7 linked regions of the Mus musculus genome follow. The protein of the gene in region 6 binds, or shares a complex with, the protein of the main gene of each other region. Links are inferred from orthologs where the notes say so. Each region holds a gene or a part of one and is shown on either strand. Other genes may lie near its edges.

Region 1 (3,683 bases), on a different chromosome or scaffold from region 6:
TGAGATTAGAGGTACTTAATCTGTACACCGAATCCCTTTATAGCGACATTTTCCTGAATCCCTCCTGCCCCGGCACTTATGTGACTCTTGAAATGGTCCTTTTTATTTTTTATTTTTTTCATCTTTTATGCTCTAATCTCCAGTCTGTTCGAAATGTCTGATGTTTCTGTATCTGAACCCCACAGAACCTTTCCTAACTATTGTTCCCATTCTTCTCCTCCTTTCCATAGGATATGGACATGCTGCACCTGGAACTGATGCTGGCAAGGCCTTCTGTATGTTCTACGCTGTGCTGGGTATCCCCCTGACGCTGGTTATGTTCCAGAGCCTGGGCGAGCGCATGAACACCTTCGTGCGCTACCTGCTGAAACGTATCAAGAAGTGCTGTGGCATGCGCAACACTGAAGTTTCTATGGAGAACATGGTGACCGTCGGCTTCTTTTCCTGCATGGGCACCCTGTGCCTTGGGGCGGCTGCCTTTTCCCAGTGTGAAGATTGGAGCTTCTTCCATGCCTACTACTACTGCTTCATAACATTGACTACTATAGGGTTCGGCGATTTTGTGGCCCTGCAGGCCAAGGGTGCGCTGCAGAGGAAGCCATTCTATGTGGCCTTCAGCTTCATGTATATCCTGGTGGGCCTGACCGTCATCGGTGCCTTCCTCAATCTTGTGGTCCTGCGATTCCTGACCATGAATACCGATGAGGAGCTACTGGAGGGAGAAGTTGCGGAGATTCTTGCTGGAAATCCAAGAAGAGTGTCTGTCCGTGCGCCTCAGAGACGCAAGAGGCACCACGCCATGTACTTCCTCAGGAAATACGGCAGAACCCTGTGCTATCTCTGCTTCCCTGGTACCAACTGGGGTAAAGATGATGACGATGATGATGATGATGATGTCGTCGATAATGTTGTTGTTACTGCTCCTATTTCTGCTCCTGCGCCTGCTCCTGCTCCTGCGCCTGCTCCTGCTGCTGTGGCTGCTGGTGCCACTATCAGGAGTGTCCGGGCTACCGTCCACACCGTTTCCTGCAGGGTTGAAGAGATCCCTCCAGACGTGCTGAGGAACACCTACTTCCGGTCCGTTTTCGGCGCCATTCCTCCTGGAATGCACACCTGCGGGGACCATAGGCTGCACCTCCGTCGCAAGTCCATCTAAGTGTGGGAGGGAAGTACATGGAAGAATCATTTGTCATGCAGATGTAAGTTTCATTGTCCCAACTCCTCTTTCCCTCCTTATTTATTATTATTCTCTTTTTTTGTGCTTACGGTCATCATCATTCCTTTCTCTCTTCCCTCCTTTCCTGGTTTCATTTCTTTCCGGCCTTTCCAGCCAGGCAGAGCTGTCCAAAGGGAAAATAGAGGCCCATCCTCTCTGAAGCTCGCACCTGAGCATGAAGCATGGATTCCTTCCTTTCTCCCCACCAGAGTTATGCCTTACATTTCTCCCCACCCTGCCTCCTCTCTCTGGGGTGGCTTTCCTAGGACAGGTGTGAGAACAGGAGCACCAAGACAGAGCTGGGAGGATGGCCAACTGAAGTCTTTGACTGACTACCCGTAGTGATGTCTCCGACCTAACTCCTCTCTTCTTCCCCCAAGGACTGGGTGGCTGTGTGTACGCGTGTGTAATATGAGCGTGTGCGCTTCTGTGTGCAGGTGTGTTGTGCGACAAGGTGGAAAGGATCAGGCATTCACTTCCCTTCTCACGCATACAATTTCATACGCAGTCTCCTAGAGGCTGCTTCCAAACTAGCTAAACCCTGCAAGGTTGGATTTATCAACCTTGCCAAATTGAGCACATCCCACAAAGCACTTTTAACCCAAGATGAATCAGATGGCCATAGCGTCTAAATCTCATTCACTTCTCTTCAGGGTGTAGGCAGGCAAGACTACAGGTTTACCCTGCCAGTTTAAATGAAATCTTTAAGAATCATGCACTTTGTGGAACTGGTATGCATCATTGACACAAGAAAGCAGAGATCACAGAGGAGTAGTCGTAAAGCCACTAGTGTCAACTTATGGAAGACCTATTGAATTTTCAGCATTTCTAGTTCCAGAAGTTTTCCCTGCAGCTGGAGATGTCAAGGTAAACAGGGAAATAGGTGGGACCCAAGAGTATCTATTTTATTATTTCCCTCTTCCTAAGAATGACTCTGACGGGGAGAGCTCTGTGAAGTCTCTACCTGCGTGGAGTAGAGTCCCAGTTTTGGAATGCTTGGATGAGAATGGGTATCAGAATGGTGATGTGGTTTTTCTTTTCCTAATAAGAAAGCGACAGGGCATTCCTTGTTTAAATATATATAGAGAGGTATATATTTCAGGAACGAGTGTCTCTAAATGCATTTGATCTGTACATAGGGAGAAGTTCATGTTGGTCTCAGGAACGTTTTAGAGGCTGTATCTTGGCCTGCTGGGAACTTGTCAAGCTCAGGGGATGCTTTGTCTAGGTAGTCGAGATATTCCTCCCCGCTCTCAATAAAGGATGACCCTGGAGGGGACAGCTTAGGCTAGAGAATATGGCACCTCGTATGCAGGCCCTCTCAATCGCAGGAGTCCGAGGGCAGCTTGGCCTCCATAGTCACTGAGGGACTCTAATTTCTCTCATCGCCATCCCTGCCATCTCTAAAAGTCACCCCATTCACTCATCCTCCCACTCCTTTTTCGCACACTGGAAGTTCCTGGCTTTTGGATGGAAATGGGCTTTGGCTACACTACGCACGCACAAGGAGCGCACTTACTGGTCTTCAAGATTTCTTAAAGGACACAGCATCCAAATGCCACCAGTCCCAAGCATGTGTGCCATTGGGCTGAAACCAGGAGCATCCAGGACTCCTCTGGAAAGTCAATGCATGCACTTAATGCTACACCCCTTGTTGAAATATTCCCTTCGTCTAGGACACGGGACCTTCAAAAGGAGTCTGTGAACCTTAGACTCTCTTGGCCAAAGTTGACATATTCCAACTTCGAGGTCTTTCTCAGTTCACTTGTTTGAGATGTTGTTGTGTGGAATGCCCTGCACAGGGCTCTCAAGTCTGTCCAGAGAATAGAAGCAATCACTATTCTTGAATGTTTTTTTTTTGCTCTGCAAAGAGATTGTTGGCTCTTTTGGGTCACAAACGTGACACTCCTGATGCCTATATGCAGAGTACTTTATGCCTCGGAGGAGGTTTCCTGGAACACATGTAGGAGTTCCCCTGAGACTGTTGTAAGATTTTCCTTCAAATGGTGGGTAGGTATGTGTGATCACCTCTGATCTGTACATGGTGTTGAGGCACTGAGAGAACCAAGGATCCACTCTCAGTTCCTACCCAGAAGGGTCCAGAAGGTGGACTTCCCAACACCAAGGTGTCCTGACTCAGTCCTACAGTGGAGGACAGATCCTGCTCGGTGTCTTCACAGGGCCAAGCATTAGGCTCAGGAGTCAAGTCAGAGGGACATAGGCTCAGCCTATCTTTAGAGCTAGCTTCCCATTCATGCATCTGTGTGAAGTGGTCACACAGTGACCATTGTGTGGGAAGGATCGAATGACAGGTACATCTTTTCTTCCCAGAGGAATATAGACAACACCTTCTATATTCTCACAGAAGTAACCCCCCCTCCTTCTGCAAGGTAAAGGGCTGTAGAGCGAATTCTCTTTCCTCCTTATGTGATAGCTACTGATAGAAGTAATGTAGCAACTTGTACTT
Region 2 (3,683 bases), on a different chromosome or scaffold from region 6:
CCTCAAAGGAAACCACAGGGTGGTGTTGCGAACCCTGGACGGCACTCCGGCACCTAACATTGACAAAACGGAACTGGTAGAGCGTACTGAGTACCTGGTGGTGCACCTGCAGGGGTCCCTGGTAGAGGGCCGTCAGTACGAGATGGACAGCCAGTTCCAGGGGGAACTGGCTGATGACCTGGCTGGCTTCTACCGCAGCGAGTACATGGAAGGAGACGTCAAGAAGTAAGGTTCAAGGGCGTGGGCACGGTCTGACACAGGGCTGCATCTGGGGCTTATGGAAAGGGAGAGGTTGGAGACTTCAGGAGACCTCAGTAGCTCCATTGCTCATCTGTAGGGGGAGGCAGTTCCTAGGGGTACTGGGTTGTGGTATGAAAGGGTTCCTTGGATGGACAGGAATACTGAGGCTCAGAAGAGAGAAAATTGTCCGGGACCCACCTCGGCTCACACTGGCGTGAAGCCTGCCAGGGCTTAGATGGCATCTGGAAGCTTTTGTCTCCCAAGGCAGCTTGTTGGTCAGGATCCTGAGGCTGTGTGGGGTTGGGTGAAGGGGAGTAAGCAGGTTGGGGCAGCCATCTTCTGTACCCTAAAACTATGCTCCTTACTCCTTCTCTAACAACACTGCTTTGGACAGAGTGGTGGCTACAACGCAGATGCAGGCTGCTGATGCTCGGAAATCCTTTCCATGTTTTGATGAGCCAGCCATGAAGGCCATGTTCAACATCACACTCATCTACCCCAACAACCTCATAGCTCTGTCTAATATGCTTCCCAAAGGTGAGCCTGGCTGTCCTGGGTTTGCCCTGAACTGGGCAGAGCAGGAAGCCCACACACTTACATATCCCATGCCCAGAGTCCAAGCCCTATCCGGAAGACCCTTCCTGCACCATGACTGAGTTCCACTCCACCCCTAAGATGTCCACATACCTGCTGGCCTACATCGTGAGCGAGTTCAAAAATATAAGCTCCGTCTCAGCCAATGGTGTCCAGGTATGAAACTGGGACTGTATGTCATGAGTTGGATCTGGCCCTGGCTTGAGGGACCTTCTCAGATCTTCTCAGTGCTAGCTTCTGAATTATTAGGCTGTTGAATCTCAGCTATGAGTGATCCCAAGAACTCTTTTGCTTTCTAGACAGTTTCTCAGGTGTAAAATTGAGGAACGTCTGTCCTGAACCTTGCTCTGTAGAACAGGCTGGCCTCAAACTCACAGACACCCACTTGTCTCTGTTCCTCAATGCCGAGATTAAAGTTGTGTGCCACCACGAATGGTGCCTTGCTTTTAATTTAGAACAAATTTATTGGCAGGGCGTGGTGGTGCACGCCTTTAATTCCAGCACTTGGGAGGCAGAGGCAGGCAGATTTCTGAGTTCGAGGCCAGCCTGGTTCCAGGACAGCCAGAGCTATACAGAGAAACCCTGTCTCGAAAAACCAAAAAAAAAAAAAAAAAAAAAAGAACAAATTTATTTTCTGTGTGTGGGTGCTTTGCCTATGCGTACGTCCATGTACCACTTCTATGCCTTGGAGGCCAGAAGAGGGCATCAGGTCCTCTGGAACTGAAGTTACAAACAGTTATTACCTATTACAAACAGTGAGTGCTGGGAATTGAACTCAGATCTTCCTGAAGAGCTCTTGACCACCGTTGTAGTTAGGGTTACTATTGCTGTGATGAAACACGGGGACCAAAAGCAAACAGAGGAAGAAAGGGCCTATTTGGCTTATGCTTCCATGTAGCTGTCCATCTTCTGAAGGAGGTCAGGCTGGAACTCAAGCAGAGCTGGAACCTGGAGACAGCAGCTGGTACAGAGGTCATGGAGGGGTGCTACTTACTGGCTTCCTCTTCCTGGCTTGCTCAGCCTGCTTTCTTTAGAACTCAGGACCACCCAGCCCAGAGGTCGCAACACCCACAATGGGCTGGACCCTCATCACATTAATATCACTGATTAAGAAAATACTCTACAGGCTTGTCTCCAGCCAGATCTTCTGAAAGCATGGCCTCAAGTGAGGTTCCATCTCCCAGATGACTCTAGCCTTTTAGGTTGACATAAAATTAGTCCGCACAGCCACTGAGCCATCCATCTACCCCTCTGTTTTAAATATTGAGACCAGGTCTACTGAGGTGCCTGGGCTGGCCTTGAACTTGTGACCCTCCTGCTTTGGCCTCTTAAATGCTGAATTTACAGGCATGTGACCGTGCTCGGTTTCCTCTGTTTAATCTAGTTGGTCTCCATCCTGACTTATCAGGGACCTCTAGCTCCCTGTATCCTGGGACTCTACCCATTTTTCTCATGATCCCAGAGGACCCTAAACCTGACCTCCTTCCTCTCATTCTGCAGATTGGAATCTGGGCTCGGCCCAGTGCCATTGATGAGGGCCAGGGTGATTACGCACTGAACGTTACAGGCCCCATCCTAAATTTCTTTGCCCAACATTATAATACATCCTACCCTCTACCAAAGTCTGGTAAGTGACCATGGGGCCTACATGGAGGTAGTGCCAGGATGCCCATTCAGACACCTCCCATTGACACCGGGATCCTTTCCACAGACCAGATTGCCCTGCCTGACTTCAACGCTGGAGCCATGGAGAACTGGGGTCTGGTGACCTACCGTGAGAGCTCCCTGGTCTTTGACTCTCAGTCCTCCTCCATTAGCAACAAGGAGCGGGTGGTCACTGTGATTGCTCACGAGCTGGCCCATCAGGTGGGCAGCTGTGGGAGCCCCAAGAAGGAGCAAAGCCTCGGGGTGGGGGGGGGTGTCAGGTCCTCACCTGGCCTGTGCCAGCAGACAGCCGGCGCGTGGTTGGATGTGATTAGTGATGGCAAGGCCTGTGAGACTCAACGGCTCGTCTGTGTCCCCTGCAGTGGTTTGGCAACCTGGTGACTGTGGCTTGGTGGAATGATCTGTGGCTGAACGAGGGCTTTGCCTCCTACGTGGAATATCTGGGTGCTGACTATGCAGAGCCTACCTGGAATCTGGTGAGTCTCCATTCTGGGAGCTGGGCCGAGGTGGAAGAGCGGGAGTGTCTGTGACACACCCCTTCTGAGCTCCTGATGGCATCTGGGGACTCCACAGAAAGACCTCATGGTACTGAATGATGTGTACCGTGTGATGGCCGTGGATGCCCTTGCCTCCTCCCACCCACTGTCCAGTCCTGCTGACGAGATCAAAACACCAGACCAGATCATGGAGCTGTTTGACAGCATCACCTACAGCAAGGTGAAGCCTCCTGGCTTCTGCCCACCCCCCTCACCCCCGGGAGTCACGGAGTTGGGGTGGGAAGGAGTGCATCCCTCAGGCAGCCTCATCCCAGCTGCCTGCCACTCTGGGAATGCTTGACCCTGGTGGCCAGCTTGGCCTGCTGAGCCCCCTCTCATCCAACCCCAGGGAGCCTCAGTCATCAGGATGCTGTCCAGTTTCCTGACAGAGGACCTGTTTAAGAAGGGCCTTTCAGTGAGTACAGCTCCAGGCGACCCCTCTGCATGGTGGCTTTCCCAGCAGAACCCTCCACAGGCCTGAGTATAACCCAGCCCTTAACAAGGTCTGTCATCTCCACAGTCTTATCTCCACACCTACCAGTACTCGAACACCGTTTATCTGGACCTGTGGGAACACCTGCAAAAGGTGGGTAACAAGCCTTCTCCATTCAGGTACCAAGGCCCAAAGTCCCTGGGGACAGCATGTGA
Region 3 (4,383 bases), on a different chromosome or scaffold from region 6:
GAGAATGCTGGTTTTCTTCATAAGGAGCTTATAAACTATTATAAGTAGTTAGAGCATATGAATAGTCAATCTATGTAAATTTAGGGGCTGGGTTACTCTAATTAGGCAAGTGGGGTGATGAGATTTTTGACACATGGAAAAATCCACACTTGTGTTGGACCTTCTCAGTTGGTCCTAACATCTACTATCCATTTCCCCTATAAACATCCAAACCGTCCTGTTCCAGCAAATTAGCATACGGTGCTGACGTGTGGGAAGGCTGCTTCCTCTAGCTGTTCATTTAACTTCTGCTTTGTAACCTCAGGGTTAAAATCAATTCTGTGGGAGCATTAGTACTTCTGAACTTTCCAGTCTAATTTTTTTTTTAAGTATGAAGTTCCTTTCTCTCCAAAATTTACCAGCATACAAGGCACAACTTTAAAAAAAAATAAAAAAGTACCCAGAGGTGATGGCACACAACCTCTAATCTCAGCACTCAGGAGGCAGAGACAATACAGATCTCTGTGAGTTCGAAGCCAGCGTGGTCTACAGAGCAATTCCCAGAATAGCCCGAGCTGTTTGTTACACAGAGAAACCCTATCTCAAAAAACCAAAAACCAAAACAAAAGCAAAAGATAAAAAGAACTCGAGCCACGGCAGCTCTATTCACACTCCTAATCAAACGTGCACTATGGGTACCTAGTTTTTCTCTTAAGAACATACATGTAAGTATATATTTGCCATTTTTCTACAGTTCAAATGGTTCAAAATAGGCTATTGGCTCAAAACGAACCTCTGGGAAATGGGTTCTCATGAACTGAGACTGGAAAGGAAAACTGTCATTCCCAGCCTAAGTTTTAGTGGGATTCATAAGGATACGACCGTCCCTATCCTTTGGGGCCTTGGTGGCAAGTTCTTGCTTGGGAACCTCATTCTGATTCCACTTTAAGGTAAATATCTTGGGGTGCAAATACTGCATTATAGTCCCCTCAAGTGATTCCAGCCTTCCCCAGTGTTAATTTTTTTGATCAAGGAAAGTAATTCCTCCTGGCAGGCAACTAATCTGCCAGCAGTCCTGGGGTCTGCAGGCCCCCCGGGGAGCGCAGCCCAGATGGGGTGTCAGTTTTGTGTTCTTCCTCATTAACCCACCGGAGCTGTTTACGTCTGGCGTCGAAGGCCGGGCTTCTTGGGCGTCTGCTCCACAGTGCCAGCGTTCGGGGAACCGTCTGAAACATTTTCTTCTGTTCTGTTGGCCCTTTTGTTTTGCGAAGAAGAATCTAAGAGGGGGGCAAGGGGAAATTTTTAAGAGAACACACACAAACCATCTTTATTATCGACAACAATGGCTGACAGAAGTAGGCCCAAGGGATGAACAACCCACTCACTACCTCCACCCACGACCCCTGGACCCGTCATCCCCGGTAGCATCTAAGGACACAAAATAAGGTTGTTCCCACTAACACAAGGAGTATTCTACACCCCACGTCTCTTCCCCACCCCCATCCCCACCCCCACCCCCCCACCCCAGCCAAGGAGGAGGCAGTTGGTAAACATCCGAACTTTTGTCACGTATCTACAGCTGGCTAGAGGGGAGGAACTGTGATGCGTTCGGCTACGGAAGTTATCACATCTTACTATCTCCGGCTTCTGACTTCAAAATCATAAACAGGGCAAGCAGTCGGATAGGGGGTATGTCAAACCTAAGCTTCAAACAAGTTCGATTTCCCAGAGCTAAAGCAGAACACGCTGGAGAAAGCAAGTGAACAGGGTCTAGTAAAGGGGCGCTTACGGAGACAGACAGACAGACAGACATTTTAAGTTTTCCAAAGAGTCACTACCTTCTGCAGCAGGTCGCTTCCTCATCCCTGGACACTGCTCCGCTAACCCAGCCGGATTGTCTGACGAGTCAGGCATTTGGTCCACCAAATGCCGGTCCTCAGAGTTTGCCTGAGACCCAATTAAAGGCACCGCCTGGCGGCTCCCGCTGACATCCTGGCTCTCCTGCGCCAGCACCTTGCAGGCGCTCTTGGGGGGGCGCGGGGGCCTGTAGTAGAACTCGGGCAAGCTGCCCCTCTCCACCTCCTGCCACTCGTATCTGCCCTCCAGGGGCTTATGATTCTGAAAGTCGAAATTCCACTTGCGCTGACTCGCTTCTTCCATATCCCGGCAGTGCTTCTCCAAGTCCCGGGTTAGTTCTTCATGATTGACCGGGCCGAAGAGATTTCTGCAGGCGGAAGGCTTGGGGTGCTCCGCTTGTCTGGCGTCCATCCGCTCCAGGCTCGGGCTCCCGTTAGACACTCTCACGTTTGACATCTTCCTCCTCGGGCGGGTGTGGACCACCGCCTCGCCTCTCTCCGGAAAAAAAAAAATGAAATAAACAACAAAACCGAACAAAAGCGAAACGCCACGGATGGAGCGCAAAACCCTCTTCGAAGTTCTGCGACTGCACACAGACAGTCAAATGGAGCAGAGCCAGGCGAGCGACCGCCCGAGCCGCAGTAGCGCGCAGGTCTGGGGAAGAGAGGCGCAGGGACACCCCAGCCGCCGCGCAGCTCGAGGCTTCAGTGATCAAGTGTACTGGAGGGCGGGGAAGGGAGGGGAGGAGGCAGGAGGAGGTGGCAAACAGTCGGAGCGTAGGCTGGGGCGAGCCCGTGTGTCCCGCGAACGCAGCCCCTCTCCAAACCTTGCCGCCGCGCGAGTCTCGGAGCCGCGAGTGAGTCGGGACAAGGGATGAGGGGGGAAAACACCCCAAAAGCACGAGCCCCCCTCCTTTTTTAGTTGCCCAATATGGCGGTGGAAGGGAGGCTGACGAAGAAGAAGATGATTGACACTGCAAGTCTATTTAAACAGAGGAGGAGCTCCATTGGTCTCGGCGCCGGGAGCCGCTCCGCCCAGGCTGGCGAGCGCGCTCTTAAGGTGGCCCCGGGCGCGGCGCCGCCGCCTCTCCGCGCTCCCGAGCGCGCCGCCTCCCCGTAGCGCCGCCAGGACATTGGCTGGTCGCGTGACTACTCGGAGGTGTACGACTGCCAACAAACCTGCTCTGGCTGGCCCCGGAGAAATTAAAAATAAGACAAACAAACTAGCCAAACGGCCGGAGAGCTGGGGAGGGGCCAGCGCGGCGGCCAGGCAGGGACCCGGGGATCTAGGTCCCGGCGCTGCAGAGCTGCGCTGGCAGGCGCGTCACCGCTCCCGACTGCGACCTCCAGGTCTTTGCCCGCGAAACCTAGGGCCTGGACCAGTGGGCTCCTAGGTCGCTGGCGGCTTATTAGGAGCTTCGGTGGCTAGTTCAGCCCACCTGCATTCGCCGAGGTGGGAATGGAGGAGGGTATGCGAGAGATTCAGGAAACCTTGGCTCAGGGCCTGGGGCAGCCCACCCACCCCCACCCGGCAGGGTGCCTTAGCTGGGGTGCGGAATCGGCCGCTTAGCCTGACCCCAGAAGTCTCTGCTATGTAGGACAGGCCAGGAGGTGGTTTCAAAAAGAAGCCAGGACTGACCGCTCTTATCAGGGTGTTTCTGAATCCAAGCGCTTCCACCGTAGGATCTCGAGATTGAAAACCCCCAGTGCTCTCCCAAGCCTCTCTTTAGAGCCGTCCCAGACAGAAATCAGAAAAAGCCAGTTCTGATTTTCTTGGTTCCTAAGCACAGTGAAAGCCATTGCTATAGCGTGTGGGAACTCGCCTTTATACCCTTATGTTCTTTCCCGGGCGAAGCCGTTCCCTCCACCTGAGTCCAGACGCCAACTACAACAGTGCCTTCCTTCTCTTTTTTCTCCCACCAGCCTGTTGCTTCCAACCTACTCAGTACAATATTCAAATACAAGCAAATACTTTTAGAGAGCTGCAGGTTGTTAAAGGGCGAAAACACTTTCCTAAGGATCTAAGACTAGATTTGCAAGTGATTTATAATACCACCACCACGGTATTACCAACATCTAGTAATGTTGGGTGGGTTTTTTTCAGCTCCTTGGGCAACTTCACATTTCTCTATCACTGCTGAGCACAGTGACAGAAGTTAAAACAGAATAGCCAGGCCTGTCGTATCTCAGAGTTCAGTGAGATTTTAAGGGCTTTGCCCACTAGTATTCCCAAACAGTCTTGGTTTGCGCTAAACACAAAACATGTTACAGGAAATTAAATTTCTGGTTTAGTGTCCCAAAGAAGCATGGTTTTCCTATCTTCCTCTGGTGTAGGTGAGACTGAATATTGACTTGTTTTCTTAGCCACATCTTTGCCAGGATGTGTGTGTGTGTGTGTGTGTGTGTGTGTGCGCGCGCGCGCGCGCACGTGCACGTGTGTGTGTGTGTGTGTGTGTGTGTGTGTGTGTGTGTGTGTGTGCCTTGCCTCCTGCATTCAAAATGTAACAGTCCAGAAAGTTCTTAGATAGGTTTAGCCTCTTTTTACCAA
Region 4 (3,683 bases), on a different chromosome or scaffold from region 6:
CTCTCTCTGTCTGTCTCTCTGTCTATCTCTCTATCTTTCTGTCTCCCTGTCTCTGTCTCCTTTTCTGTATCTCTATCCCTTTCTCTCCAGGGTCTCCTGTAGCCCAGGCTAGCCTCAGAGCTCACTATTTAGTGGAGTGTGGCCTTGGCGCAGATCCATCTGCCTTTCCTTGGATTCCAGGCAGGTGACAACACACCTGTTTTGCCCTGTGTTGGGAAGTGTCCACAGGAAGATGCCCATAGGTATTAATGTAGGGAGGGCTGAAGCCAGTCTCCTCTGTGCTCTGACCCTCTTCTACCTCCTTTGCGATGCTCAAACCTCCCCTCCTTAGGTACCACTCCTCAGCTGTGCCCTCTCTTGCCCAAGGAAGCTTGGTGTCTCCTTCCTGTTCCTCCATTGGTCCTATCCCACCGGCCTGCCCCCCGCCCCTGCTGTTCATCCTAGCTGAGGCATGATGGAAGGAAGGTTGGAAGGGGTTACCTCTGGCAATGGCCATGGTGACAGGGGCAGTTGTCCTCGGCAGGAACACAGCCAGGACTTCCGTCAGGGCAGAGGCAGGGGGCTCTGTGTTCCTGACCTTGGCATTGCTGTCCAGGTTGGCACATGTTGGGGGTGCACAAGGGAACCTCACAAAGTTGACCTGTGTGGAAGGGTTTGGGGAGATGAGTCTACGAGGAAAGAAAGTCCCTTTGTGTCCTGAGGGGGTCAAAGGCCACCTCCAGGTGTGGCTTCCTCACTGTGCACAAGTCCTTTCTTCACTTTCACTCTCTCTTCCTATGTCCTTGTCTTTGTGCTGTACCTCGCTGTGCTCCGAGTGTGTGTGTGTATGATCGTGTCCTGTTTGTGTGTGTGTGTGTCTGTGTGTGTATGTGTGTGTATGAGTATGTGAGTGTTCGTGTGGTGTGTGTGCATATGATGTGTGTGTGGTATGGTGTGTGTGTACATATGATGTATGTGGTGTGTGTGAGGTGTGTATGTATGTGTGTGTGGTGTGTGAGCTGTGTATGTGTGGTATGTGAGTGTGTGTGGTATGTGTATGTGTGAAATGTGTGGTATGTGTGATGTGTATGGGTGTGTGTGCATTTGATGTGTGTGTATGAGTAGGTGTGTGGTTTGTGTGTTTGTGTGAGTATGTGTGTGTTATGTGTGGTGTGTGTATGACTGTGTGGTATGTGTGTGGTGTGAGGGTGTGTGTGTGTAGTGTGTGTGGTGTGTGTGTATGCTGACATGCATGGGCCATAGGCACACAAGTAGAGGTCAGACTTTGCAGAGTCCGTTCTTGCCATCCATGTCCCCTGGATTCTGAGTTCCGAGCGCAGGTTGTCAGTTTACGATTGCTTGCTTTTACCTGCTTGCTTATTTATTCATCCTGTCCTGGTTTTTTTCTAGTGCTGGGCACCCCAGGGACTCCTGCATATTCAGTGAGGTCTTTGCTTCCAAGCCACGCTCCTAGCTCTCCCTGGCCAGTGCACAGAAGGCCGTTCTCATTCTGTTTTAGTCATCCTGACCACCTAACACCCGCCAGGGGCCTCCTCCCCACCTGCAGTGGGCTCACACACCCTCCCAGTTCTTTCTCTTGTCTCCTGACCTGTGAAACCAGGACGGCAGAGGCAGAAGAATGCTCCGGGGAGATCAAGGCAGCTGGCTCCCACGGGGCAGGGGTCACTCAGACATTCGTCCACTTCTTTCTCACAGTGTGGCCCTTCAAAGCCTGTGGCAGAGGGGTGGGTTAGGAATCGCACAGATGGTCCCCTCCCCTAGCGACCGAGCCTCAGTTACCTGGGAGACACTCGCAGTAGAAGGCTCCAGGCTGGTCTCGGCAGCGCCCCCCATTGGCACAGGGGGTGCTGCTACACTCGTCCATGTCTTTCTCACATCGGGCGCCGGTGAATCCTGGTGGGGGAGGGGATGGGAAGGGAGGGTGCTCAAGGACGTGCAGAGAGGCACAGGGTGAACAAAGGTGGGTCTTCTGAGGAGACTCTAGGCGTTTGGGCAACACGGGAGAGAGTGGAGCTCAGACCCTGCTGGCGACTAGGCTGCTGGGCTGTGGGCAAGCTACCCAGTTTCCCTTCCAGCTCTCATTTCTTCCTGTGTAAGAAGTAGGGATGGAGCCTGGGCCGGGAGTATGGCTAAGAGGCAGAGTGATTACCCAGCATGTGTGAGACCCTGCCTCCTGTCCCCAGCATTGATACAGAAAGAATCTGTCCCTGGGCTGGAGAGATGGCTCAGCAGTTAAGGGCACTGGCTGCTCTCCTAGAGGTCCTGAGTTCAATTCCCAGCAACCACATGGTGGCTCACAGCCATCTACGATGGGATCTGGCGCCCTCTTCTGGCGCGCAGGTGTACTTGCAGATAGAGTACTCACTTTTTCATAGACAGAAGTGAGGCTGGGGTGTAAGCAAGGGAAGGCTTGGGAATGGGTGGAAGAGTTGGGGGAGCTAAAAAGGAGGAGGAGAAACACAAGCTGCTTTGGGGGCAGGGGGATGGTCTCTAGGTTCCCAGGGGACTGAGGTTGTCTTGGCCAGAATCTTCACCCACCAGGAAGGCAGAGGCACTGGAAGCCGTTGAGCAGGTCATGGCAGGCAGCTTGGTTCAGGCAGGGATTAGAGGTGCACTCATTGACCTCCACCTCACAGAGCCTCCCTTCCAAGCCTGAGGACACAGATGGGGTGAGAGATGGCCTCAGCCAGGGCCAGTGGGCTTTCTGCCTGGGGCACCTAGGCTCTGAAGCCTTGGACTTGCAGAACCCCCCATCCCCCCTGCTTGTGCTGTCTTGATGAGCACTGAGTGTGTGTGTGTGTGTGTGGGGTGGACACATCTGTCTCCCCCAGGCTTAAGGCTCCGGGAGCAGGGGACCTGCAGGGGGCTGAGAGGAAGTGCCTTTGAAGTCCTTTCTGTGTACCTAAGAGGGTGGGGCTTGCCCATGGGCTGCCCAGCCTGGAGATTCTTGAAGTACAGATGGGAAATGGACATCTGCCTGGAGGGTGATTCAGCCCTCATGTACTATCTAGGCCTCTGTACCGTGGGTGGGAGCGATGGTGGTGGAGATGGTGGTGCTGCTGGTGGTGGTGATGATGGTGGTAAGATGGTGGTGCTCCTGCTGGTGGTGATGGTAGTGATGGTGGTTGTGATGGTTGTGATGGTGGTGGTGAAAGTGGTGGTAGTTATGGAGATGGGGATGCTGTTGGTTATGGTGGTTGTGGCCATAATGGTTTTGATGGTTATAGCAGTAGTGATGGTGTGGAGGAGGAGGATTTGAAGAAAGGCATTAGGACAGAAGAGTGGCTCCCATTTTCCACCCTTAGGTTTATCTTGGTCTCCATGACCTCATGGTCAGCCTCCTCACCTCCCTGCCCCACCCCCCTTTCCTGGGGATCTGCCTCGACACCCTCGATTCATGTAACTTGTCCCTTGGATGACCGAACAATTTTCCCACGTCTCTGTGCATGTCTATGCATGGCCTGAGCCACGATGCATGGGTGATGCCTGGCATCCAGTAGGGAGTGGGGTGGGGAGGTCAGCACTGCTGAAGCCCGGGTGGAGGCTGGACTCTGCTCCTCACTGGAGGCGTGACCTTGGGTAAGTCACTCCCCCTCTTTGTGTCCAGTTTCTTAATTATGAGATGGGGATTCCTTCTCTGATAAGACGGTCATGGTGGGCATGGTGTTGGGAGCCTTCCAGCA
Region 5 (3,586 bases), about 120 Mb from region 6:
AGCACTCACAGCTGTTAGAACTAAGGACTGAGTGCTGCATTGTTAAGCTGTGAGCACTCACAGCTGTTAGAACTAAGGACTGAGTGCTGCATTGTTAAGCTGTGAGCACTCACAGCTGTTAGAACTAAGGACTGAGTGCTGCATTGTTAAGCTGTGAGCACTCACAGCTGTTAGAACTAAGGACTGAGTGCTGCATTGTTAAGCTGTGAGCACTCACAGCTGTTAGAACTAAGGACTGAGTGCTACATTGTTAAGCTGTGAGCACTCACAGCTGTTAGAACTAAGGACTGAGTGCTGCATTGTTAAGCTGTGAGCACTCACAGCTGTTAGAACTAAGGACTGAGTGCTGCATTGTTAAGCTGTGAGCACTCACAGCTGTTAGAACTAAGGACTGAGTGCTGCATTGTTAAGCTGTGAGCACTCACAGCTGTTAGAACTAAGGACTGAGTGCTACATTGTTAAGCTGTGAGCACTCACAGCCGTTAGAACTAAGGACTAAAGTGGGGCTAGGGTTAAGACAGATGATGATTAAGATTTACACCTTTTTTATGTTATGTTTGTTTGAGTCTTTGAGTCGTCATCAGTGCCCTTTGGGGAGGTGATGTGCAGTGAGCCTCTGAGAATGTTGAAGGGACTGGGTGTTCAATGGTGACAGAAAGATAATTACATAAGCTTGAAGTAGGATAAACAGTTGGAGCACTGAAATTGTTTTCTAAAGGAGAAAGTAGAAAACACATGTCAAGTACAGATTTATTACACTTAAAAGTCCATGTATTTGACAGATATACATAAGACATATTTAAAGTGGAAAAGGGGGAATTCACAGGGAAGAAGTATGAGACTGTGAGAAGATGGGAAATTATGATTTATAAGCATAGACCAGGCAAGCACTGATAGTAAGAAAAAAACATTCAGTATAAATGTTTATTACTCTAAAAAGTATTTGCAGGGCTGGCAAGATGACTGTGTGTAAAAGTACTTCCCACCATGTCAGCAACCTGAATTTGATCATCTGAACTCACAGGGTAGAGAGAGAGCTGACGTCTACATGTTGACCTCTGACCTTCACACACACACACTAAAAAATATTTCAAGTATTTTCAGAATTGGATTTCTGAAGTAGGTTCAATAACAGTGCAGAACCAAAGCCGTTAGAGCCTACCTTCTGTGTGACCCACCCATTGGTATTTTATCTAATGAAAACTCTACCTGTAATGAACTGTCCTGTAGGAGCACCTCAAGACTGCTCTTCGTTGAAGGCACACCACTGTCCTGGAAACCACAGCTGGGATGGTATCGTTTCTGTACCACCAGGGGCAGCCTTCTGTGATCGCAGGGCCTCCTCGTGTTCCTTGGCTGTAATAAGTCCATTCTTGGTTGAGAAAGGTTCAGGTGAGTGTATGCTGTGAGTTATACTGCAAATGTTGGTGTTTACCCTACAAGTACGCAGTGCATGGATTCACCATATAGTATGTTTTCTTAGTGTTCATTCCATACTTCAGTAAGTATTTGTTTAAGTAGGAGAGCATTTCCAGACTCAGTGCTGACCAAATGCATTCCAGGAATGTCTGACCTAGAAGGAAGTGGGAAGAAGCAGCGTTACTTTCAGTGTTAGTAAAGGCGAAACTGTTTTCATTTATCACATCGGCAGGTATCCTTTATATTTGAAACTAAACAAAAATTCAAGTCATTTTGCCCTACAACATAGCATATAAAAATATAATACTCTTTCTGGAAGGTGAATGGGGAGCTAAAACTCAAGTCTCTTGATAGTTCCTGGATAATAGAAGCACTTTCAAATAATACTCTTCACACCCGCAGTCATACGGGAATGAGAGTTCTGCTTACTCACATTCACACAGAATTACACTCATTGCCTCTACGTATCCTCAGCTTGGTAATTCTCATGCATTGCTTTGCTGCAGAGCGCCCACCAATTGGTATAGCCCAACAGTGGATCCAGAGTAAGAGGGAAGCCATTGTGAGCCAGATGACTGAAGCCTGCCTTAACCAATCGCTGGACGCCCTTCTGTCTCGTGACCTGATCATGAAGGAGGACTATGAACTCATTAGCACCAAACCTACAAGGACCTCAAAAGTCAGACAGCTGCTAGATACGTCTGACATCCAAGGAGAAGAGTTTGCCAAAGTTGTAGTGCAGAAGTTGAAAGATAACAAGCAGCTGGGGCTGCAGCCTTACCCAGAAGTACCTGTGCTTTCCAAAGCACCGCCTTCAAATTTCCCTCAGAATAAAAGCTTGTAAGGGGGCCTTCTTTGGGAGGAAGTCAGTTTACAAATGGTTATTTATATTTCTGTTACCTGTATAATATTTGTATAGAAAACATGAGAGTATTAGACGCTTCACTGAAGGTTGATGGAAGAGTCTCTTCCCATGACGTTGCAGTATTTTTTTAAATTAATATAAGTAAAAAGTTTGCTTTATGCTGTGTAGTTCAGTTTTTACGTCAGTTTCACTACTTGAACTTTTTATGTGATAATTACATTTTTCTAGTATGTAACAGTGCCTTAAAGTGGCCTTTGTTTCTGATGGAAGACACTTTCACACTCACCTTCTCTGCGGATTCCTCATTATTCGTCTAGAGTGCAGTTTGACTTTACATAGCAGTGATTCAGGCTCCCCATTTGCCAATCCCAAGTTCAGATCTCCAAAGAGTTACTCGGTTTTAAGTTTGACTTACAAATTCTTTAGCAGGTGGTCTCAAGGAATGTAGAGTATATAAAGAAGCGGGGGAGAAAAAATTAACACTGGCCAGCCGTGGACCTCTGCTTAACTTTTGCCTCCTGTCTGTCTCCAGAGCGAGCAGCCCATTGTGCATCCTGCTGCAGCCTGCTTCCGGCTCCTGTTTTAAGCATATGCGGGTTGGGTAGAAGCCGACCTTTACTTAGCTATTTTCTTTGTAAAACACCATGGTTTTTGAACTGAAGGCAGGTACACTCCTCCACACAGCTAACTCCGTTCAATCACCGCATGTCGGCCACGCCTCTCTGTGTTTGATTTTCCAAGATTGCTCTTATCAACTTGACGAGAAACAATAAAAAGGCAATACAGTGTGCATTCTTTTTATCTTCTGGTAATTAGCGTATGTCAGTAAAGGGAAACTATACAAAGTGATACCTTTTTCTGAAAACTGTTTAACAGTTAGAAGAAAGTGAGAAACAGAATGAATTTGAAAACTCAAACTTGCAAGACGCACCAGACTCATAACCTAAAACAATCTGAATTAGGACTTAGATCATATGGAGACAATGAAATATTCCTTAATTTGAAATAAGAATGTAAACAGCAGGACTGGAGAGATGTCTGAGCACAGCATTTAAGAGCTGGCTGCTCAGGGAGAGGACCAGGGTCTGCTCCTAGCACCCACATGATGCCTCACAACCAGCAATAACCCCAGTTCCAGGGAAACTAGACTCTCTTCTGGTCTCTAAGACCACCAGGCAGGTGTACAGTGCACTTACATGCAGGCAAAACAATCATTCATATATATATATGTATATATACATATATATATATATATATACATATGTATATATATGAATCTATATGGGAAGATGTTTAAAGAAT
Region 6 (3,703 bases):
ACCTGTCTATACAGGACTGGGGAGCAAACTCCATACACACTAGCAGGGACTCTACCAACCAAGACACACTCCCAGCCTCTGCTTTTCCCCAGGGTGGGGGTAACATGTTTCCCTTGTGGCAAAGCCAGTCACCAACTGGCATGTCCCCTGTGTGAGTTTAAATGCTCAGACTCTAGCCGTACACTACCGTGGTCTTCCCTAACTTGATGTTTTACTGTAGTTCTGTGCCTGTGCCATGAGTTAGGCAAAGCACGCAAGATCTCAGGACAGAAATCCCATCTGCTTCCTGGGAGAACCTGTAAAATTAGCCAGGACCCTGAAGTCTCTCAAGAGCCCCTACTCCGTGGCCCAAGCACATTCCAGCCTGTTCAGGGTTCTGGCCTACAACACCTCTCCCGGAGGCAAGGCGAGTGCTCAGACACTGTGAGGAGACAGGCAAGGTTGTGCAATAGTCCTGCTTCAAGGGTTAGACTGGCTGGGTCCTAGGAAGAAACTTCTTTAGAAGGAACCACGGAGTCCCATCTAAACTTGAAGAATGTGGTGGGGCACATAAGCAGGAACACACCCTCAGTGCCCATTCTTATCATGGGCCTTGAAAATAGGGCCCAACCAATCAGGGATGGAAGATTGGGAACAAAGTGATCTCCATCTCCAAGGAGACTTCTCTCAGGGGTCAGAGGCAGAGTCTTGAAGGGACTTGAGAACCTCTGGGAGCCAAGTGAGGGATCATACTGGGCTGGAATCACACACTGCGCCATAAAACAAAATGGAATGTGCCATTCCCAGCTCCTTTCCCTCAGCCCTGTCTTCCTCCCCAGGTTGATAGCGTCCCCCCTGGGGGACCAAACTGGACTGAGCACCCAGGTGGCCTGCTTCCCAGCCTCTGACAGAGGTAATCTGAGTCAGGCAGGGGAGTGGGACAGTCAAAGAGTTAGGCCCCCACCCTCTGGGAACCCTGCCGATACATGACGACAGGCAGCTTGGAAGGGACGGGTGACCCGATGTGGAGAACCAGAGAGTAAAGTCTCAGACAAGTGTCAACAGGCCACCAACTTGAAAGGGAAAATTGTGCTGTAAGGGGGAAGGTGTCCAACAAACATATTGGGTGACTAATTACAAAGGCTGGGCTGGAGCGTCAGAGGCCGCTCGTTAAACACTTCATTAAGTGGCACCCTGAGATGCCACCTGCGCATCTGGGGTGTTCATAGGGCATCTTGAGGGAGAACAAGGACCAAGGGATGGAGCTATCTTCAGGCCGGCTCAGCTAATGGCCCCCAAAGAGAGCCAAGAGGAAGAGGGGACACGGAGGGGGAGGGGTTTAAGGGAGCTGGCAGCTTGTGACCTCAAACTGGTTTGGTTCACCCCTGAGACTTGATAGTTCTACCTCTACAGTCCTACAGAGCCAATTCGGGGGTTGGGGGTAGTTGCATCAGATCATGGATGCGCAAGTTTGGGGGAAACTGTACAGCCCTACCTATACATGAGTTCTCACCTGAACTGTCCCAGCTCCCTGGGCTCTGCCTGGGCTAAAGCAGCTCGGTGGCTGAAGCCTGGAAGATCACCCTGAAAGACAATCTGATTTGGTAATCCAAGACGCTCCTGCAATGCAGCCAGCCCTGAACTGCAGGGGGCAGTCTGGAGCCGAAAGGTGCCTTTGCAGGTGGGACCTGCGGCCAGGTTTCTCCTGCTGACTGTCCTGGTGACTCACAGCCCCCTCCCGTCCCAGCCCTTTTACCTTAAAGGTAGAGCCGGAAAGGGTGTGGCGAAGACTAGGAGGAGGCAGGGCCCAGGCCCGCTCAGACCACGCCCAACTCTTCTCAGGGCCATGCCACCCCAGCCAAAAGGCAGAGCCAGAGCAAGGGAGCCGCAGAACCCAGCGTTACTCTCGAGACAGCCAGTTCGCCCGTCTGTCTGTCCATCCTCGCAGTCATGGAGAGAGCCAGTCTGATCCAGAAGGCCAAGTTGGCTGAACAGGCCGAACGGTATGAAGACATGGCAGCTTTCATGAAGAGCGCCGTGGAAAAGGGCGAGGAGCTCTCCTGCGAGGAGCGAAACCTGCTTTCCGTAGCTTACAAGAACGTGGTGGGCGGCCAGAGAGCGGCCTGGAGGGTCCTGTCCAGCATCGAGCAGAAGAGCAACGAGGAGGGGTCAGAAGAGAAGGGCCCCGAGGTGAAAGAGTACCGGGAGAAGGTAGAGACCGAGCTCAGAGGTGTGTGCGACACCGTACTCGGCCTGCTGGACTCGCACCTCATCAAAGGGGCTGGAGATGCAGAGAGCCGCGTCTTCTACCTGAAGATGAAGGGTGACTACTACCGCTACCTAGCCGAGGTGGCCACTGGCGATGACAAGAAGCGCATCATCGATTCTGCCCGGTCAGCCTACCAGGAGGCCATGGACATCAGCAAGAAGGAGATGCCGCCTACCAACCCCATCCGCCTGGGCCTGGCCCTGAACTTTTCAGTCTTCCACTACGAGATAGCCAACAGCCCCGAGGAGGCCATCTCGCTGGCCAAGACCACCTTCGACGAGGCCATGGCCGACCTGCACACCCTCAGTGAGGACTCCTACAAGGACAGCACCCTCATCATGCAGCTCCTGAGAGACAACCTGACGCTGTGGACAGCCGACAGTGCTGGGGAAGAGGGTGGTGAGGCTCCGGAGGAGCCCCAGAGCTGAAGCAGCCGACAACCACCCCGGCTCGCCTTGCCCTCCAGTCCCCAGCCTGCAGAGAGGACTAAAACGGAGTGGGACTCTGCCCTTCCCAAACCCTGAATGTTCAGCCACACCTTGGAAGGCTCCTTTGAAGGGGGCGCAGCCAAGCTGAAGCCACCAGGGCAGGGAATCTCACTCTTCGTGTAGCTGTCTGGTGGGTGTTCCCAACCCATCCCACCCCTGCTCTCTGCACCCCCTCCCCACTTCCTCCCCCTGAGCCTCCCTCGGGCACCTGTTGCTTCTGGATCCGAATAATCCAGGAGGCTCCCCACCCTGTGGCTGAGAACTGGACTGTGGCAAGGGCTGTGTGTGTGAGAGAGAGGGAAACTCTGTGTGTGTGTGTGTGAGAGAGAGAGAGAGAGTGAATGAGAGGGAACACGTTTGCTGGGTGTGACCATGCTACCACTCAATAAAGTTGCCCTGTGACACTCGGTCTTCTTCAGTTATTGGCCATGGGTTGAGAGTAGAATTAGAAATGAGTTAAGAGAACCGGACTCTGAAACTCTGAGCTAGGTCTGTCCCTTGGGGCTGTCTGGGTGACCTGGAAGTGAGACGAGCCTTTGGGTCGGTGTCGGTGACCTGGAAATTTTGGGTAGGGTGACTTCAGGTGAGAGGCCACCAGGAAGTCCCCGCAGCGCTTCGGCTCAGGCCAGGTGAGCACAGAGGCAGGTCAGGAGAGCAGAGGAGAGTGGGGGCTGTAGGCGGGAAAGCCGCGAAGTCAGGGAAGTTTGGGCACAGTGGCCTTAAGAGACACGCTTCACAAGTGGCACTGGGGACCTCACTTTAAGAAGCGGGAAACGGTCACGTCAAGTGCTCAGATCTGAGCCGAGGGGTGCAATCTGAGGCAGGGGCATAGTGCCTCCAATAAAACAGATCAAATAAGGGAAAGCTCCCCAAGGCCCAGGGACAAAAAGAAATCGGCTGAAGAGGAGCGGGCGCGAGCTGGGTGGGAAGAGCCGCAGGGAGCTGGGCTGAGCAGCCCACGGCCTGC
Region 7 (3,683 bases), on a different chromosome or scaffold from region 6:
CAGCCTGGCTTCTCTGAGTAGAGTGTTAGAGATGGAGAGGGGCAGGGGCGTAGCTTAACGAGGGCTTGCCTAGCATGTACGAGGCCTTGAATTCAGTCCCTAGTAACCCTCAAACCAGGTGTGGTGCTGACACTTGTAACCCAGCACTGGGGAGGTGAAGACAGGAGGATCGGAAGTTGAGGGCTAGTCTCAGCTACATAGGAAGTTTGATGCTCTCCAAGGCTACATGAGATCTTGTCTCAAAAAAGACAGAGTTGTCAAGCTGAGGACCTCTGTTTAACCCACGTGATCAAAGGAGACAGTTCAGAGTGTGACAGTTCAATGTGTGACTCTCACACATTGTCTCTGACCTCTTGTTGCAACACACATGCACACATGAATGTTTTGGGGGCTTTGGGGTTTTTTGTTGTTTGTTTGTTTTGTTTTTCGAGACAGGATTTGTCTGTGCAGCCCTGGCTGTCGTAGACCTCACTTTGTATGCCAGGCTGGTCTTGAACTCAGAGATGCACCTGCCTCTGCCTCCTAAAAGGCATATACCACCACTGTTTGGCCACACACGCACATAAATGTAATAAATTAGGGTGTTTTTTTTTTCCTGTGGGGGTGGGGTGGGGGAATTGAGACTTCAACAGCCAAAAGGAATCCTGGCACTTTTGTTGTTTTTTGTTTTGTTTTTGAGACAAGGTTTCTCTGGATCCTGGTACTTTTTAAGGTCCCCTTTTGATGACTAAATCTCTGTGTGCTTACTCATCTCCAGTTGCTAGTAGGTGCTTGGCAAGTGGTGTTGAGTTAGTATTGGAGGATTGAAAGAAAAAATGATGTTCAGAATTGTTCCAGGTTGCAGTTTGGGTGCCAGGACAGACAGGGAGACACAGGGGAAAGAAGCAGTGCCCTGGTGTGAAATACTGCTTCACCTAGACGGTGTGCAGCTGAGGTGGTCAAATAATTCTGAAGCTTCAAACTAAAGGAAGAAGCCATACACTGAGCTGAGTCTGGAGCCTTCGGCCTGTGATGCTCTGCCCACAGCACTTCCCTCTCCACCTACGTGGATGCTTCTGTGAGCAGCTCAGATGGCGTGCTAGGCTCTTGTCCCCCAGAGCAGGGGTCAAGACAACCAACAAGGCTGGCTGTGTGGCCCACACCTTTAGTTACAGCACTTTGGAGGAAGGGCAGTGAATTTCAGTGAGTTTGAAGTCAGCCTGGTCTGGTGTGTGTAGTTCCAGGACAGCCAGGACTGTATATAGTGAGACAGTCTCAAAAAACCAGGGGGGAAGAGGATTCAACCAACAGACCCTTCTCTGAAGGTCACACATCCCTTCTTAACTGGTTGGGAGACTAGGTCTTAGGAAACTATGACTCCACTACCCTCCTGGAGAGCCCATAGAAGGGAGAAGTGCAGCCCGGCTAAGGAGAGTAAACCCACCATCCATATTGCTTTCCCAGATGATCGCCACCGGATTGAAGAGAAGCGCAAAAGGACCTATGAGACCTTCAAGAGTATCATGAAGAAGAGTCCTTTCAATGGTGAGATGAGGAAAGCCTGAGGGAGAGGAGTGGGCAGGCCAGCCAAGTCCTAGAGTCAGTGAGAGGACACCCGGGGTCTGAAAGCTGACTTAGCTTTTGCCCTGTAGGACCAACTGAACCCCGGCCTCCAACCCGGCGTATTGCTGTGCCTACCCGAAACTCAACTTCTGTCCCCAAGCCAGGTAAGGAAGTCCTTTTCTTTTTCTAGAATGAGGGTCTCATTTGTTCAGACTGAAGTAGTATCTTCTAGAAGGGGACCAAATTGGTCTCACCTGCAGAGTTCTGAAATCTGCTCTCCATGGGGCCTGGACTTCTCAGGGGGAGGCCGGGGTCTCTGCCAGGACCATCCAGGGCTCTTGTCACAGACTGATAAACTCAAGGCTTTGAAAGTGTGGCACAGGAACTGGCCATTTCCTAAAGTCAGTAGAAGTCAGAAGCCATGCTCCTGTCAAACCCTGAGCCCTTTATTCCCTGCTGCTCAAGAGAGTGTGGCAGGAGGGTCACAAGTTCAAGGCCATCTTGGACTACAAGGTTATTAAGTTTAAGGTCAGTTTGAAGAACCCTGTCTCAGCTTTAAAAGTAAAAGCAGGGATACGGTACAGCTCATGTAGAGCGCATGCCTAGCACCAGAGACCCTAGATTCAATATTTGGTACCAAGGGACTAAATAATCCCTGAGTTGGATACCTTGAGATACAGACATTGGAAATGTCTCTGCCCTCAGCTCTCCATTGAATTGAGAAAGAAGAAATCACCTCTAAAGTAATCAGTTGTGGGGCTAGAGAGATGGCTCGGTTAAAGGCACTGGGTTCTCTTCTCAGCAGCTGTCTCTAGCTATAGCTGCTCGCCAAGGGCGCTGCACGCATGCAGTGCACATACATAGAAGCAGGCAAAATGCTCACAAATAAAAACATTTATTTAAAAAATTAAGCTGGGCTGGGTGGTAGTGGCGCATGCCTTTAATCCTAGCACTTGGGAGGCAGAGGCAGGCGGATTTCTGAGTTCGAGGCCAGCCTGGTCTACAGAGTGAGTTCCAGGACAGCCAGGGCTACACAGAGAAACCGTGTCTTGAAAAACTGAAAAAAAAAAAATTAATAGGTTGTGGGTTCTGGTGCGTGGCTCACAAGAGTGACAGACTCCCACCACTGAGCCCGTGCTCCATGGTTCATCCTCTTCGCTGGCTTTGCAGCTGTAACATGGTGAGAGCTTTATGACCGCAGTAGCTAGGGAACACCTCACTGTGGCCCTTGGAAGTGGACCCTACAGGCCTGGTCAGATTTTGGTTCCCAGAAAGGTACTGATTCTAAGCATGGTAGAGCTGGGTCAGGTGGTGGCAGAGGGGCCGTGTATGTCTCTCACTGCCTCTGAGCCTTTGTTCTTTGTCTCTCTCTCCAGCCCCGCAGCCCTACACCTTCCCAGCATCCCTCAGCACCATCAACTTTGATGAGTTTTCCCCCATGCTGTTACCATCAGGGCAGATCTCAAACCAGGCCCTGGCCTTGGCACCGTCCTCTGCCCCAGTCCTTGCCCAGACCATGGTCCCTTCCTCAGCCATGGTACCTCTGGCTCAGCCCCCAGCTCCTGCCCCAGTTCTAACCCCGGGTCCTCCCCAGTCCCTGTCTGCACCTGTTCCAAAGAGCACCCAGGCTGGGGAAGGCACGCTGTCGGAAGCCCTGCTGCACCTGCAGTTTGATGCTGATGAAGACTTGGGGGCCTTGCTTGGCAACAGCACAGACCCAGGAGTGTTCACAGACCTGGCATCTGTGGACAACTCAGAGTTTCAGCAGCTCCTGAACCAGGGTGTGTCCATGTCTCACTCCACAGCTGAGCCCATGCTGATGGAGTACCCTGAAGCTATAACTCGCCTGGTGACAGGGTCCCAGAGGCCCCCTGACCCAGCTCCCACACCCCTGGGGACCTCGGGGCTTCCCAATGGTCTCTCAGGAGATGAAGACTTCTCCTCCATTGCGGACATGGACTTCTCTGCTCTTTTGAGTCAGATCAGCTCCTAAGGTGCTGACAGCGACCCTGCTCAGAGCACCAGGTTTCAGGGCACTGAAGCCTTCCCGAAGTGCGTACACATTCTGGGGAGTGTGCTCCAGCTGCCCCCGACTTGTTTGGGTGATCTCTCTGGGGCGGCACGTTTTACTCTTTATCTCG

The links.
Region 1: the proteins of Sfn (region 6) and Kcnk9 are in contact, whole or in part, in a crystal structure (PDB 3P1P), measured with the Homo sapiens proteins. The link is inferred for Mus musculus from reciprocal best matches to the Homo sapiens genes SFN and KCNK9. Residues at the interface, in NP_006133.1 of Homo sapiens: Lys49, Arg56, Arg60, Lys122, Asp126, Arg129, Tyr130, Glu133, Gly171, Leu174, Asn175, Val178, Glu182, Leu222, Asp225, Asn226, Leu229, Trp230; in NP_001269463.1 of Homo sapiens: Lys369, Arg370, Arg371, Lys372, Ser373, Val374.
Region 2: the proteins of Sfn (region 6) and Anpep are in contact, whole or in part, in a crystal structure (PDB 7AEW), measured with the Homo sapiens proteins. The link is inferred for Mus musculus from reciprocal best matches to the Homo sapiens genes SFN and ANPEP. Residues at the interface, in NP_006133.1 of Homo sapiens: Asn42, Ser45, Val46, Lys49, Arg56, Lys122, Arg129, Tyr130, Gly171, Leu174, Asn175, Val178, Glu182, Leu222, Asn226, Leu229, Trp230; in NP_001141.2 of Homo sapiens: Ala60, Ser61, Ala62, Thr63, Thr64, Leu65, Asp66.
Region 3: the proteins of Sfn (region 6) and Cdkn1b are in contact, whole or in part, in a crystal structure (PDB 7ORG), measured with the Homo sapiens proteins. The link is inferred for Mus musculus from reciprocal best matches to the Homo sapiens genes SFN and CDKN1B. Residues at the interface, in NP_006133.1 of Homo sapiens: Lys49, Arg56, Arg60, Arg129, Tyr130, Glu133, Leu174, Asn175, Val178, Glu182, Leu222, Asp225, Asn226, Leu229, Trp230; in NP_004055.1 of Homo sapiens: Arg194, Arg195, Arg196, Gln197, Thr198.
Region 4: the proteins of Sfn (region 6) and Notch4 are in contact, whole or in part, in a crystal structure (PDB 7OR3), measured with the Homo sapiens proteins. The link is inferred for Mus musculus from reciprocal best matches to the Homo sapiens genes SFN and NOTCH4. Residues at the interface, in NP_006133.1 of Homo sapiens: Lys49, Arg56, Arg60, Lys122, Arg129, Tyr130, Glu133, Gly171, Leu174, Asn175, Val178, Glu182, Leu218, Gln221, Leu222, Asp225, Asn226, Leu229, Trp230; in NP_004548.3 of Homo sapiens: Arg1914, Arg1915, Phe1916, Ser1917, Ala1918, Gly1919, Arg1921.
Region 5: the proteins of Sfn (region 6) and Ripk2 are in contact, whole or in part, in a crystal structure (PDB 7OBS), measured with the Homo sapiens proteins. The link is inferred for Mus musculus from reciprocal best matches to the Homo sapiens genes SFN and RIPK2. Residues at the interface, in NP_006133.1 of Homo sapiens: Lys49, Arg56, Arg60, Lys122, Asp126, Arg129, Tyr130, Pro167, Gly171, Leu174, Asn175, Val178, Tyr181, Glu182, Ile219, Leu222, Asp225, Asn226, Leu229, Trp230; in NP_003812.1 of Homo sapiens: Leu535, Gln536, Asn537, Lys538, Ser539, Met540.
Region 7: the proteins of Sfn (region 6) and Rela are in contact, whole or in part, in a crystal structure (PDB 7O6I), measured with the Homo sapiens proteins. The link is inferred for Mus musculus from reciprocal best matches to the Homo sapiens genes SFN and RELA. Residues at the interface, in NP_006133.1 of Homo sapiens: Glu14, Tyr19, Leu43, Ser45, Val46, Lys49, Asn50, Gly53, Gly54, Arg56, Lys122, Arg129, Tyr130, Gly171, Leu174, Asn175, Val178, Glu182, Ile219, Leu222, Asn226, Leu229, Trp230; in NP_068810.3 of Homo sapiens: Ala43, Gly44, Ser45, Ile46, Pro47, Gly48, Arg50, Ser51.

The regions. Positions count from the first base shown.
Region 1 is NC_000081.6:72,509,592-72,513,274, reverse strand, and holds part of Kcnk9 (potassium channel subfamily K member 9), read left to right. Parts: intron 1-230; coding exon 231-1,156; 3' UTR 1,157-3,683. UniProt on the Homo sapiens protein: K(+) channel that conducts voltage-dependent outward rectifying currents upon membrane depolarization. Voltage sensing is coupled to K(+) electrochemical gradient in an 'ion flux gating' mode where outward but not inward ion flow opens the gate.
Region 2 is NC_000073.6:79,838,180-79,841,862, reverse strand, and holds part of Anpep (aminopeptidase N), read left to right. Parts: coding exon 1-225; intron 226-634; coding exon 635-777; intron 778-853; coding exon 854-990; intron 991-2,334; coding exon 2,335-2,461; intron 2,462-2,545; coding exon 2,546-2,700; intron 2,701-2,861; coding exon 2,862-2,975; intron 2,976-3,072; coding exon 3,073-3,216; intron 3,217-3,384; coding exon 3,385-3,450; intron 3,451-3,555; coding exon 3,556-3,621; intron 3,622-3,683. UniProt on the Homo sapiens protein: Broad specificity aminopeptidase which plays a role in the final digestion of peptides generated from hydrolysis of proteins by gastric and pancreatic proteases.
Region 3 is NC_000072.6:134,918,829-134,923,211, reverse strand, and holds the start of Cdkn1b (cyclin-dependent kinase inhibitor 1B), read right to left. Parts: upstream 2,812-4,383; 5' UTR 2,293-2,811; coding exon 1,818-2,292; intron 1,257-1,817; coding exon 1,138-1,256; 3' UTR 1,129-1,137; intron 1-1,128. UniProt on the Homo sapiens protein: Important regulator of cell cycle progression. Inhibits the kinase activity of CDK2 bound to cyclin A, but has little inhibitory activity on CDK2 bound to SPDYA. Involved in G1 arrest. Potent inhibitor of cyclin E- and cyclin A-CDK2 complexes.
Region 4 is NC_000083.6:34,570,706-34,574,388, reverse strand, and holds part of Notch4 (neurogenic locus notch homolog protein 4 precursor), read right to left. Parts: intron 2,653-3,683; coding exon 2,539-2,652; intron 1,894-2,538; coding exon 1,780-1,893; intron 1,712-1,779; coding exon 1,589-1,711; intron 641-1,588; coding exon 481-640; intron 1-480. UniProt on the Homo sapiens protein: Functions as a receptor for membrane-bound ligands Jagged1, Jagged2 and Delta1 to regulate cell-fate determination.
Region 5 is NC_000070.6:16,122,231-16,125,816, reverse strand, and holds the end of Ripk2 (receptor-interacting serine/threonine-protein kinase 2), read left to right. Parts: intron 1-1,230; coding exon 1,231-1,392; intron 1,393-1,925; coding exon 1,926-2,263; 3' UTR 2,264-3,076; downstream 3,077-3,586.
Region 6 is NC_000070.6:133,599,996-133,603,698, reverse strand, and holds Sfn (14-3-3 protein sigma), read left to right. Parts: upstream 1-1,530; 5' UTR 1,531-1,929; coding exon 1,930-2,676; 3' UTR 2,677-3,143; downstream 3,144-3,703. UniProt on the Homo sapiens protein: Adapter protein implicated in the regulation of a large spectrum of both general and specialized signaling pathways. Binds to a large number of partners, usually by recognition of a phosphoserine or phosphothreonine motif.
Region 7 is NC_000085.6:5,643,882-5,647,564, forward strand, and holds part of Rela (transcription factor p65), read left to right. Parts: intron 1-1,443; coding exon 1,444-1,524; intron 1,525-1,631; coding exon 1,632-1,706; intron 1,707-2,918; coding exon 2,919-3,535; 3' UTR 3,536-3,683. UniProt on the Homo sapiens protein: NF-kappa-B is a pleiotropic transcription factor present in almost all cell types and is the endpoint of a series of signal transduction events that are initiated by a vast array of stimuli related to many biological processes such as inflammation, immunity, differentiation, cell growth, tumorigenesis and apoptosis.